Linked DNA regions of Kluyveromyces lactis. The protein of the gene in region 1 purifies or fractionates together with the protein of each later gene. This does not show direct contact. Links are inferred from orthologs where the notes say so. Each region holds a gene or a part of one and is shown in the gene's direction. Other genes may lie near its edges.

Region 1 (3,720 bases):
GAGACCTTCTTTACACTCATTCGCAGTCTTAGATTTTCCAACTTTTGCGACATACTTTCTAGTTAGTGAGAATCCTTTATTCCCGCCATACCTTAGATTTCGACTAAATTGTTGTGCTGACTGTTTGTTTACAGCATATACTATTCCACCGGATACTGGTGTGTCAATCCTGTGGATGGGGTAGTACGATGGTTCATATGTACCGTCCTTCAGGATGCTTCCACTAGAGCTTTGAACAATATCCAATAACACTGGGGGATCATAGTCGTGAGTATTGTACCACGTTCGTTTGTCAGGTAATTGAGAAAGGGCCAAGGGTGGCTTATTAAAAATTACGTGGTGCTTGTCACGCCAGAGCTCTTGTACTTTTAAAGGGAATTCCACTTCACAATGTGTAGCCTTAGCGTTTGTCGACTCCGGGGAGACGATTTTAAAGATCTTCACGAAAGGGGGTTGTTTTATGAAGCCTCTACGTAGCATATCAATTAGTACTATGATTTAAGCAATGCAGATGTACAGGAACTAACGGTTTTCTCCTCTCAGCTACATTCATGACTACTTATGCTTCCCTCATCATTCTCATGATATTTTTCTCAAAACTGCAGCAGCCTTTTTCAAATCAAGAAAGCCGAATAGATATATAAATAATTAATGAGACGAATACTAGATCTCTACAGCAATGAACGGTCAAACGATTTCATCAAGTTGAAAGAAGCAACAGCAGATAGTTTACACCCGGAAGCTCTATTTCATCTGCTTTTCTCTGGGCATTATCATCTTCTTCAAATAATACTGCCTTTCCAGTAATATTCTGATTACTGAGCAGTGGCGGCTATGGCGAAAGGGTTTCCAGGCGAAACTGACAATGAGATTCCCAAACGCATCTCTGAAACACTGAAGTACCAGCCAATTAACCACATAGTACCGAAGTCAGGGCTATCTAATTTGCTGAGTTCTTCAATAACCGAAGATATCAGTATTTCATGTAACAGTGCGTTCGGTTCACCCCCATCTGAACATTGGCTATACCCTCACCCTATCGATTTCGACCCATTTAACGAAGGCGACAGGGACCCCATTTTATTCAGGAGACCCAATAATATTACTTTAAGAGATGAGTCTCAAGAAACTGCTCCTGATCTGAAGCTTCTGAAAAATCTTCCACAGCTAGGAATCAGGTGCCTGACTGTTACAAGCCTGGTCGATTCTGCTAGTATTGTTGCGAATGTTGCTGGAAATCAGAACACAGCTACTAAAAAAAGAAGGCTAGAAGCAGGGGAAGACAAGGTATTGCTGAATGAGCTGGATTCCAAACGGATTCAAATTTGTGTACAATCTAATCCGATGAATGACTTGGAAGTTGGAAAACTTTGTCTTGATCATCTTTCGAAATTGTTAGATTCTGTCGGACTCAATTCTGAAGGGAGTGTTAATGAAAACGCTAAATTCTGGAAGCCATTAGGTGATGTTTACGTTGCTACTTCGGAGGCTATAGATGCAATATCGTTGACGATAAATAAAGTTCTAGGATTTCCGATGGTATTTGAGTATATTGATGTTCAATCTCTTAAAAAAATACTGGGTCTTTGCACTAGAAATATCAAAAGAATCCTAGCATATCAATCAGACAATGAATCTGAGTCCTTAGATCTGAATAACCTTACGTTTGGTTGCGCATTTTTAATTCTTGAAGTTATGATGATAGATCTCAAATCCGCAAACCTTCAGTTAGAAGAATATTACAATGCTGTGTTCTCAGCGCTTGATAATGCGCTCGAGAAGTTACATGTTTCGGACAACTCAAGAGGTATTAATGCAGATATTGGAAATATATTCTTATTCATCAATTTATTGGAAAAGTTTGTCGCCTCTCAATCATACTTGGACGAAATGTTTTTGATCAAATCAGTGTGCATTTGCTGTGATATGCTACTACACAGATGCTATCAACACTTAAACACTAATGTGCTTTTATCGCAAGCGGAGCGGATAAAAGACCTTTCTCTTGGAATATTAATATCACTTTTTTCTGAGTATCCATCTCAGCGGCTATTTATTACGGAAGAATTATTATCACACGTGCATGATATAGTAGTCTCAAAATCCACTAAAAAACTGAAATTGGTCGATGAATTTGAGAATGGCTACGCATCGTATTTTACTGTCGCCCTTGTTGCCATGTTCCAGTCAATAAATGCTTTGCCTGATGCTGAGCTATTGTCAGATTTTACGTCTGAATTGCTTGAAAATGTACTGTCCGAGAATAATGCCGCAAGTTTGGAATTGAAAGGACTAATCGATAACGTCACAACAACTTTATTCGAAGGATTGATTACGAATCCTTTCAAATTCAAATCAATTGTGGAGATTTACATCCAAGATTTGCTAACTATGATAGGAAACCCGAAATGGGCGTATTCTCATCATTTATTAGAAGCTTTTTTGCCGAAATTGTTTCAGATATTCAGCCCTACGTATCAAGGAACAGGAAACTTCGAAGTGCTTGCTATTCAACTTGTCGGCCAAATTACTGCCACTTTGACAGACGTTAAACTGAGGGCTGCATCCGAGGAAAGTAGGGATGTAAAAAGGATATTTAATTTGCAAAATGAGTACAAAGAGTGTTTCGATTGGTTGGGTTCGCAGACCAAGACATATTTTTCCGATAGAGCATTGTGGAATGAATCACTTTTTTATATCAGTGAGATGTTAGATCAGAAGGAGATAGACAAAACAGACGCACAGGTAATGAATTTTGTTATACGTATAATAGCAAAAGAAATAAGGGAGACAGAAATAAGCGAGAAAGAAATAAGCGAGAAAGAAATAAATAATGGTATCGATGGTAATGAAAGAGTTCGGTCCCTTTACATGAAAATTGTTTCACTTAGTCCGTTGTTTAACTTTTATGAACCCGCTTTGAGGCTCATTCTTTCGTTATTGGATCAACAAAAAGTAAAACTTAAATCAGGAGCAGTTAAATGTTTGACCCTATTAGTATCAAAGGATCCTCAGATGTTAGATACTCCTTTTGTTCAGGAAACCATAAAAAACAGACTCTATGACTCTTCGGCTTCCGTTAGAGATGCAATTTTGGATCTTCTAGAGCAGGCCACAACCTACATTCAATTCTACCGAGAAATAAACTGTAACTTTGACGATGACAGTATAGCAGTTCGAAAACATGTTATGCGGATGAATGAAAAGATTCTTGATACAAGTTCCGACCTGAAAATAAAGACATTCGTTTTAGAAAAAGTCTTGAGACGAATTGAGGATGAAGAGGATGTTATCGTGGAAAATGCCAGGAAACTATTACTTCATAGACTAATTTTGAGACATAGTGCATCTGACTTGTCCGTAAAACTGCATAGATTTGATTTATCAGAAACCCTCGAGCTATTATCAACACTCATCGGTTATGGTGGCAAGACTGAGGAACTGTTGGAGTTCTTCTTTCATTTTTTCGTATTGAACCCCTCCATTCATAAGAATGAAGATACGAAGTCGATATTTGATGCTTTAAGAAATCTTGTTAATGTACTTATTGAAGAGATTACTGAGAATGCAGCATCTGCAGACGAACTGAGTGAATCGAATGCAAGAAATAGATATGACCTACTTTATTTTTTTGCCAATTGTCCGATCAATTTCATATCAAAACCGCATCTCTACTCACTCTTTCCATATCTTTCGTCAAACTTTAACGGTAAATGTTAT
Region 2 (3,758 bases), on another chromosome or scaffold:
TAGATGATATGGGTCACGAAAACAATTTAATCCATTGCAAGGCTTGGTTGGAGACTGAAGAAATGGTTGCTGATATTGTAATGGAAGATGTGGAATTGGATTTAAAACCTTTTAGATCTTCTATGTCACCTTCAGATCTTCAGATCGATCAGTTAGCAATCACTAGGCCAAGTAGCGAACAAGATTACATACACGTAACTTCAAGAGGTGAATTAAGCTCATCTGAGGACGTGGAATTAGATCCGAGAGTAACACAAGGTACAATTGATGATATTTTGGTAGATGATATTGACGAACAACAATCTCAACAAACTCTACTACAGGCAAGCTACTCTGATCAAAATGCCAAATATCCATCTTCATATAATCCGATACACGGACTCGTCGCAACTTTAAGACGTGCAACCACTTACTGGAAACGTTGATGGTTAATTTTATGCTATTTCTTCTTTACCTATTCTCCTTCTAATTGATTTTTCTTCCTTTCACGCTAATATACACTGCTTTTTGCTCAACTTCTTCTATCCAGTAAAAATCTTCTGAACACATATTCATCAAACTACAATAATTACTATTTAAACCTCGTGCTATTTCTCTTCTTTAATTTATTTAGCCTCTAACTTCTTTTTTTTCTCAGGATGTAATACAGTCTGTCGGTTTAAATCGATTACGACGATTGCTTCAAAACACACTCTCTTCCCATGCTTTGGTAGCCTCAAATGAAAGCATACAAAAGTCATCTCATTTGAATGAAAATTGCTCTTAGATAAAGTTCATGGATGTCTTCGTAAAACAGGTCATTTAACTTTAGATAGAGAAATTGATATAGGTCTGTGATTTAACAATGTAACACTGTTGTTTCACTTCTTAACACAGCTGCCGTTATTAGGCCAAAATATAATACTTACATTTTACATGGATTCGAGTAAAAAAACGCGTCGCGTAAATCTAAAAAACTATATGTATGAAAGTAAAAAAAAAGAGGCGACGAACAACAAATCAAGGAAAAAAACAGCTCTCACTCATAGTACATTAACAACAACAGTCACTTACTAGAACCATTCAGCCTCGTTCCACTGTCTACCTATGCCAGTGAGAAGGTCAACCAGGATAAGGACCAAATCCTCTTATAGTGAACAATCTGGATCAGAATCGGACTCTGAGCACGAAACTATAGGATCCATTGTCACCGACGATCGAATAAATATCGAAAACACGGATAATCAGAAAGAAGAAGAAGCTTTATCACAAGGTTCTAGTAGTTCAGAAGAAGACGATGACGCCAATGATGACGACTATGTTGCCCCTGGCTCCAGAAAAAGACCAAATTCCGGAGGTAGGCGCGTTGCAAGCAACAAGAGAACGAAATTAAAACAAAACGAGAAAGGCCGACCATCTAATAATATATCCAGTGCTGTTTCAAGAAAAGAACAGGAAGCATACATATCATTGCAGAATGAATTCAAACCCACAGAGCTTTTTGAAATTCTAAGCAGCTCCGACGATTTTTCTTGCGAAGAACTTGCCAGTGACTGGTTGGATTCCTATATAGATAACCGAAATGTCAGCTTAGCGAATCTCATAAATTTCTTATTAGATTGTTCTGGATGTTTCACTCATATTGGTGAACACGATGTAGCTAATAATGACTCTTCGAATGAAACAATAGGGGAAATACAAATTATGTTCCATGAGCAAAAAAAACATGAGTTCCATTTATTACTATCGGCAACACACAAGAAGGCAAAGTTCCGTCCTTTGAATGATAATTTTAACATTTTCATGACCACATTAATGGACCTAGCCATTGAGAAAGAGATGATATATGTTGAGAATGAAAAAGAAGAAAGTGACGAGATTGTGATCGAAACAAATCCATTAATTATTGACTTACTTACATGGATACCTTCCATGTCAGTATCAAAAATACGATGTTTGCGATATGTTTCAGCTAAAGCCATCTTCTGTTTCCAAGATTCTCTCGCACGAGCTTCTGCCAGCTTAGAAGCAGAGGTGTTATTTAAACTGAGGAAACAGTTGACACTGGAGAGAAAAAAGAAAAAGCCCAAGTCCAAAACTATGGAGACGCTAGAATCTTCTATTTCTGATGCTGAAGCTACGAAAACTGTGATAGAAAACACTATTGATAACATAATAAAGCTCTGTTTTGTTCATCGTTTCAAAGATGTAGATGAAAATATCAGATCCCTTGCGATATCCTACTTGTTAGATTGGATTGAAAACAATCCAGACTACTTTTTTAAGGTAACCTTCCTCAAATACTTCGGTTGGTTGCTATCTGATAGCAGTAATTCAGTCCGGTTACAAGTTATAAGGTCCCTTCATGACCTAATTAAGTTCTCCAATAAGAGAAACAAAAATACTGTCGATAACGCTGCCCTAAGACAATTTTTCGAAAGATTCAAAGATCGAATGTTAGAAATAGCTGGCAGAGACATCGATATTCAAGTAAGATTAACCTCAGTTCAAGTACTTTCGTCGATTAATGGGTTGGGTTATCTGGATGACCATGAAATAATAGACATCATTAGCTTGATCTTTTTTGATCATGAAGTAAAAGTATCTTCTTCGTCAAGGGACGTTAAATTCTTGAACGAGGTTACCAAATTCTTGGCAAACATTGTTTCTGAAAAAACGGAAGAGTTTCTAATAAACAATGAAAGGTTTAAGGTTCCGGTAATTTCGGTAACGGAAGAGCAGTTTGTTAAGGTGGGTGTGTTAATGAGATTATTACACAATTCATTGTTAAATCATATCAACTCCACTAGTAATTTAGAAGGTTATGCAAAAGTACCACCGGACAAAATCAAACTCTTACAGCAAGCGGCGGAATTTTTATCCCCCAAGTTTTACAACTTAATTGAAACTATATCAAAACTACTCTATGAAGAGGGAAATTTCGATGGCAGCACAATTCATGCTGATGCAGATGATTTTTCCAATGATCTGGGTGATATCAAATTGTTCCTACCAGAAACTGATAACAATGTCCTATTTTATGCCACTGTGTTGGGCGGCTTATGCACAGGCGGCATACAGTACAACAAAGGCCAGGACAGACAAGCCGTGACACAGTTAATTCTTCCAGAGTTAGAAGATCTTTTCAAGAAAATGAATCTTGATTCTGATCAGATATATACTCAACTACTAAATGTAATACAGCTATTAAACACAGAAGAATGGAATTCCAGTGAATCAAAGGATGTCATTTTTAATATCAATAAAACAATAACAAAACGATTTGAAAGCTCTCCAGTGGTTTTGAGCAACGCAAATGCCATTACTAAAACCTATAAGAGTTTAATTCCATATTTGGCATCCCTTCAAATACCAGAGGTAACTGGTTATTGGAAGTCATGTCTGATTAACGTGACATTATCATTCAAGAAGTTTATGGAATCATTTGACATAAAATCTGATAATTCAATAACAACATTATATCTGCAATATGTTAACAAACTTGTAATTTTGGGTAAGGAGTTCGCAATTGAAATTTCAGAAACGCTTTTGGATGACATTGTTGAAAAATTCTTGAAGCCGTTGAGTGAATTACTACCAAAGATTGATTCGGATGCCATATCTGTCCTAGATTTTAAGCTTTTCACCTCAATAGTTACTTGGAATTTAGCAACTTGGAGAGATGTTATCAAAAATAATGAAGAACCTATAGCTGTTTCACATACTACGCTGAATCAAATTAGAACGGTATTAGTCGAATTGCTGAATCTTTCTTCAAA
Region 3 (3,758 bases), on another chromosome or scaffold:
CTCCACAGCTTTCCTCCTGTGATTCTTTAATTATACCTGGTGGTGAATCTACGACAATCTCGCTAATTGCGAAAAGAACAGGACTTTTTGATTCCTTGATTGAATTCGTTCACGACCCCACTAAAACGGTGTGGGGGACCTGTGCTGGATTGATTTTTTTAGCTAAACAACTCAGCAATGAGTCGAGCTTGGTAAATTCGCTCGACCTGTTAAAGGTAAAGGTGAGAAGAAATGCGTTTGGTCGTCAGGCTGAATCGTTCATCGAAACATGTGACTTTTCTTCATTTATTCCTGATTGCACAGGTTTCCAAGTCTACTTCATTAGAGCCCCAATTATAGAAGAGATATTATCTCAGGATGATGTAGAGACATTGTACACTTTAAAAGATGGATCAATAGTGGCAGTCAGTCAACAAGGACGCATTCTAGGAACGTCTTTCCATCCAGAATTGTCCGATAATGATGCCAGATTCCACAACTATTTTATTCAGAAATTTGTTCTAAACAATTGATGCAAATAAATATCTATCGTTTGTATGTATTAAGTCTGAATAAACGCTGAATTCAGAACGAAATTCTTTTATCCAATTCGCCCCTTTGCGTCATTAATTATTCAATAATAAATGCGTTTAAGAAAAAAAGAAAAAATTGACACTGACGGGATTCGAACCCGTGTCACTCCCTCGCCTATGATCCTGAAGATCATTGTTATGGAAGGGGAGTATCCTAAACCACTAGACTACAGTGTCCAATGCCTGTTCAGTGTTGGAGCAGATTCTCAATATACCTTATTGTTGATGTGGCTGGTATTTCCAGTCACGTGCTGTTAAATTAAGATCTTTGGTATCTGATGAATCCATAGCGTTTATTAGCTATATATCCAGTAGTGTATGTTGATGCACCTGGGGATCTGGCATGACTGTATTGATGGTCCTTGTCCAGATCTAATGCCTCCTTATATAATAATTCAGATTAGTTAATGATATTTCATTCCGAAACACCCGTTATGTATCATCTTGATACTTAACCGCCTATTACATTGGTAGTTACCCGATCATAGTTTATGATCCATTTAAACACTTACATCGGAAAGCAGCTAACTTCGTATCAAGCCTTAGTAAAGACGAGCGTACATTGGATCCATTTAAATACTTTGAACATTTCGAAGAAGGAAGCTTACCGTTGCATTTAAGTTAGCATGTTAGGGTAACGAGTTGAAATTTGTTTATGTTATACACTGTCTATGAAACGCGTCCTTCTTTAATAAAAAAAAATGAATATCATAAACACATACAAAATTATACAAAACAAGTTAAGTTTACGCGTCCTGTATCAGAAAGCTCTAGGAATAAGAGTAATTACAAGGGCAAGAAGACAGACTACAACACTGTTGAAATGGTTCACATCAAAACTGTTATAATCAGTGGCTTCAAGACTTACAAGAATCGGACCGTGGTGGAGAATTTTTCACCCCATCACAATGTTGTTGTCGGTTCCAACGGTTCTGGTAAGTCGAACTTCTTTGCAGCTATTAGGTTCGTCTTAAGCGAAGAGAATTCAAACTTAAAACGTGAAGATAGGAAGGGTTTTATCTACCAAGGTGCAGGGCAAGTAATGAGTGCATTCGTTGAAATTATCTTTGATGATCCTGAGAACTTAATGCTTGCACCGTTAAGAAACGATACTGGAGAGGTCAGAATTAGAAGGACAGTGGGATTGAAGAAGGATGAATACATGATTAATGACAAGAACTCAACAAGACAAGACGTTAGAAGAGTTTTAGAAAATGTAGGATTTTCAACTTCGAATCCTTACAACATTGTTCCGCAAGGGCGAATAATATCCTTGACCAACGCGAAAGATTTAGAACGGCTGCATCTATTAGAGGACGTTGTAGGTGCAAAATCATTCGAAAACAAACTGAAAGAGTCTTTGAAAAAGATGGAGGCAGCAGAGAGAGATAGAACGAAAATCACTAATGAATTAAACGAACTTGACAAACGGTTGAGCGAATTGTCCGATGAAAAGGAAGAATTGGAAAAGTACAACAATCTAAATAGAGATCGAAAAGTTTTACAGTTTTGCTTATACGATAGGGAATTGAACGATATTACGAACCAAATTGAACAACTTGAAGGTGAGTACAATTCAATTATTGAAAATTCTTCTGAGTATGTTAACGAATTGGAAAAAAGAGAAGTGCTTGCAGTAGAGCTCAACAAGAGAATGAATTCTTTAGAAAGTGAGATTAAAATAAAACAGTCTACTGATCTACCACAGTTAAAGGCATCGAAGCTAGAAGTTGCTGGGGAATTGGCGGATTTAGACACTAGGTTAAACGATATTCAAATGCAATTGGATGCTTCACAAGCGCATTTGGAATCAAATGTCAAAGAAATCGGAGAAGTAAAGAAACAAATTGAGATTAACTGCTCGTCAATTGCCGAGGTACAACCAAAATTCCAAAAACTATCAAATGAAGCAGAAATCTTAAAAGTAGAAATCGAGAAACTCACAAAGAGGCAAAGAGAATTATTATCAAAAAAAGGGAAGTATGAAGATTTTCGTACGGTAAACGAAAGAAATGACTGGATCCAAGAACAAATTAACTTATTAAACCAGTCGCTGAATAAATCTAATATATTAAAAGATCAACTGACTAGCCAACTTAGTACACTACAGCATGATTTAGAGAATTTAAATGCTGAAATTGAAGACCTAGCCGATTCAGTAAATGGAATGGGATCTGTTGCTCAGCAGGAAGACTTGCAAAATAAAGTAACACAAGCCAAGAAGGAATATTTGACGAAAATCGATCAAAGAAAACAGCTATGGAGAACTGAACAAAGACTACAAACAATTTCCACCTCTCTCGATAATGATGTCAAAAGGTTTGAGTCAGATATGAATGAAACAATTGATCGTTCTTTAGCACTTGGTCTACAAAATGTCAATGACATTGTTAATAGGTTAAATTTACATGAGCATGTTTTTGGCCCTGTAGGCGAGTTGATAAAGGTAAGCGATAAATACAAAATATGTGCAGAAGTCGTGGGAGGCAACTCCCTTTTCAATGTTGTTGTTGACAATGAAGAGACCGCAAGTTTATTAATTAAGGAATTGTTTGCAACGAAAGGTGGAAGGGTAACATTTATTCCTCTCAATAAGTTGCATGTGGATACCAACTTTACGTATCCAAATAACTTGGAGAAAAATCAATGTACACCTCTAATCAAAAAGATCAAGTATGACGTGAAATTTGAGAAAGTGATCAAGCAGGTTTTTGGCCGAACTCTTGTCGTTAAATCCTTGATTGATGGTGCTTCCCTTGCCAAAGAATACAAACTAAATGCTATAACTTTAGACGGTGATCGTGCAGACAGTAAAGGTGTTTTATCTGGTGGTTACTTGGATCAGTACAAGAGTAATAGACTGGATACTTTACGAGACTTCAAACAATCGAAAAGAGAATATAAAAAAATTCAAGTAGAGCTTCAAGAGATTAAACAGGCGCTCCAGAGTATCGAACAGGAAATTGATGGCCTAAACAATGTTGTTAAGGATGCTGCAGCAGAGAGAGATGCGTATGAAGCAGGCATAGAAAAGGCTAGGAGTCAGTTGAAAGCAAAGCTGTCTCAGAAAATTACGATTGATGACTCTATAAAAGCTTTGAAGGCGAGACTAAACAAAATCGATACGGAGCTTGAACAATGTAGAGAACGTACAAATGCCTTTGCTGCGGATATATCTAAACCATT

What was found. Proteins that work in one complex are often made in the same cells at the same time.
Region 2: the proteins of SCC2 (region 1) and IRR1 purify together in Saccharomyces cerevisiae (affinity purification with western blotting; 5 studies listed by BioGRID, with this or other methods). This does not show direct contact. The link is inferred for Kluyveromyces lactis from reciprocal best matches to the Saccharomyces cerevisiae genes SCC2 and IRR1.
Region 3: the proteins of SCC2 (region 1) and SMC3 purify together in Saccharomyces cerevisiae (affinity purification with western blotting; 4 studies listed by BioGRID, with this or other methods). This does not show direct contact. The link is inferred for Kluyveromyces lactis from reciprocal best matches to the Saccharomyces cerevisiae genes SCC2 and SMC3.

What each region holds. Positions count from the first base shown.
Region 1 is NC_006040.1:1,532,748-1,536,467, forward strand, and holds the start of SCC2 (cohesin-loading factor complex subunit SCC2), read left to right. Parts: upstream 1-834; coding exon 835-3,720. Other genes in the region: pseudouridine synthase PUS5, read right to left, coding at 1-480. UniProt on the Saccharomyces cerevisiae protein: Plays a structural role in chromatin and is involved in sister chromatid cohesion. Forms a complex with SCC4 required for the stable association of the cohesin complex with chromatin, which may act by hydrolyzing ATP from SMC1 and SMC3 heads.
Region 2 is NC_006042.1:2,573,049-2,576,806, reverse strand, and holds the start of IRR1 (cohesin subunit IRR1), read left to right. Parts: upstream 1-1,086; coding exon 1,087-3,758. Other genes in the region: ATG45 (Atg45p), read left to right, coding at 1-425. UniProt on the Saccharomyces cerevisiae protein: Component of cohesin complex, a complex required for the cohesion of sister chromatids after DNA replication. The cohesin complex apparently forms a large proteinaceous ring within which sister chromatids can be trapped.
Region 3 is NC_006037.1:23,336-27,093, reverse strand, and holds the start of SMC3 (cohesin subunit SMC3), read left to right. Parts: upstream 1-1,395; coding exon 1,396-3,758. Other genes in the region: KLLA0_A00352g (pyridoxal 5'-phosphate synthase subunit PdxT), read left to right, coding at 1-512. UniProt on the Saccharomyces cerevisiae protein: Involved in chromosome cohesion during cell cycle and in DNA repair. Central component of cohesin complex. The cohesin complex is required for the cohesion of sister chromatids after DNA replication.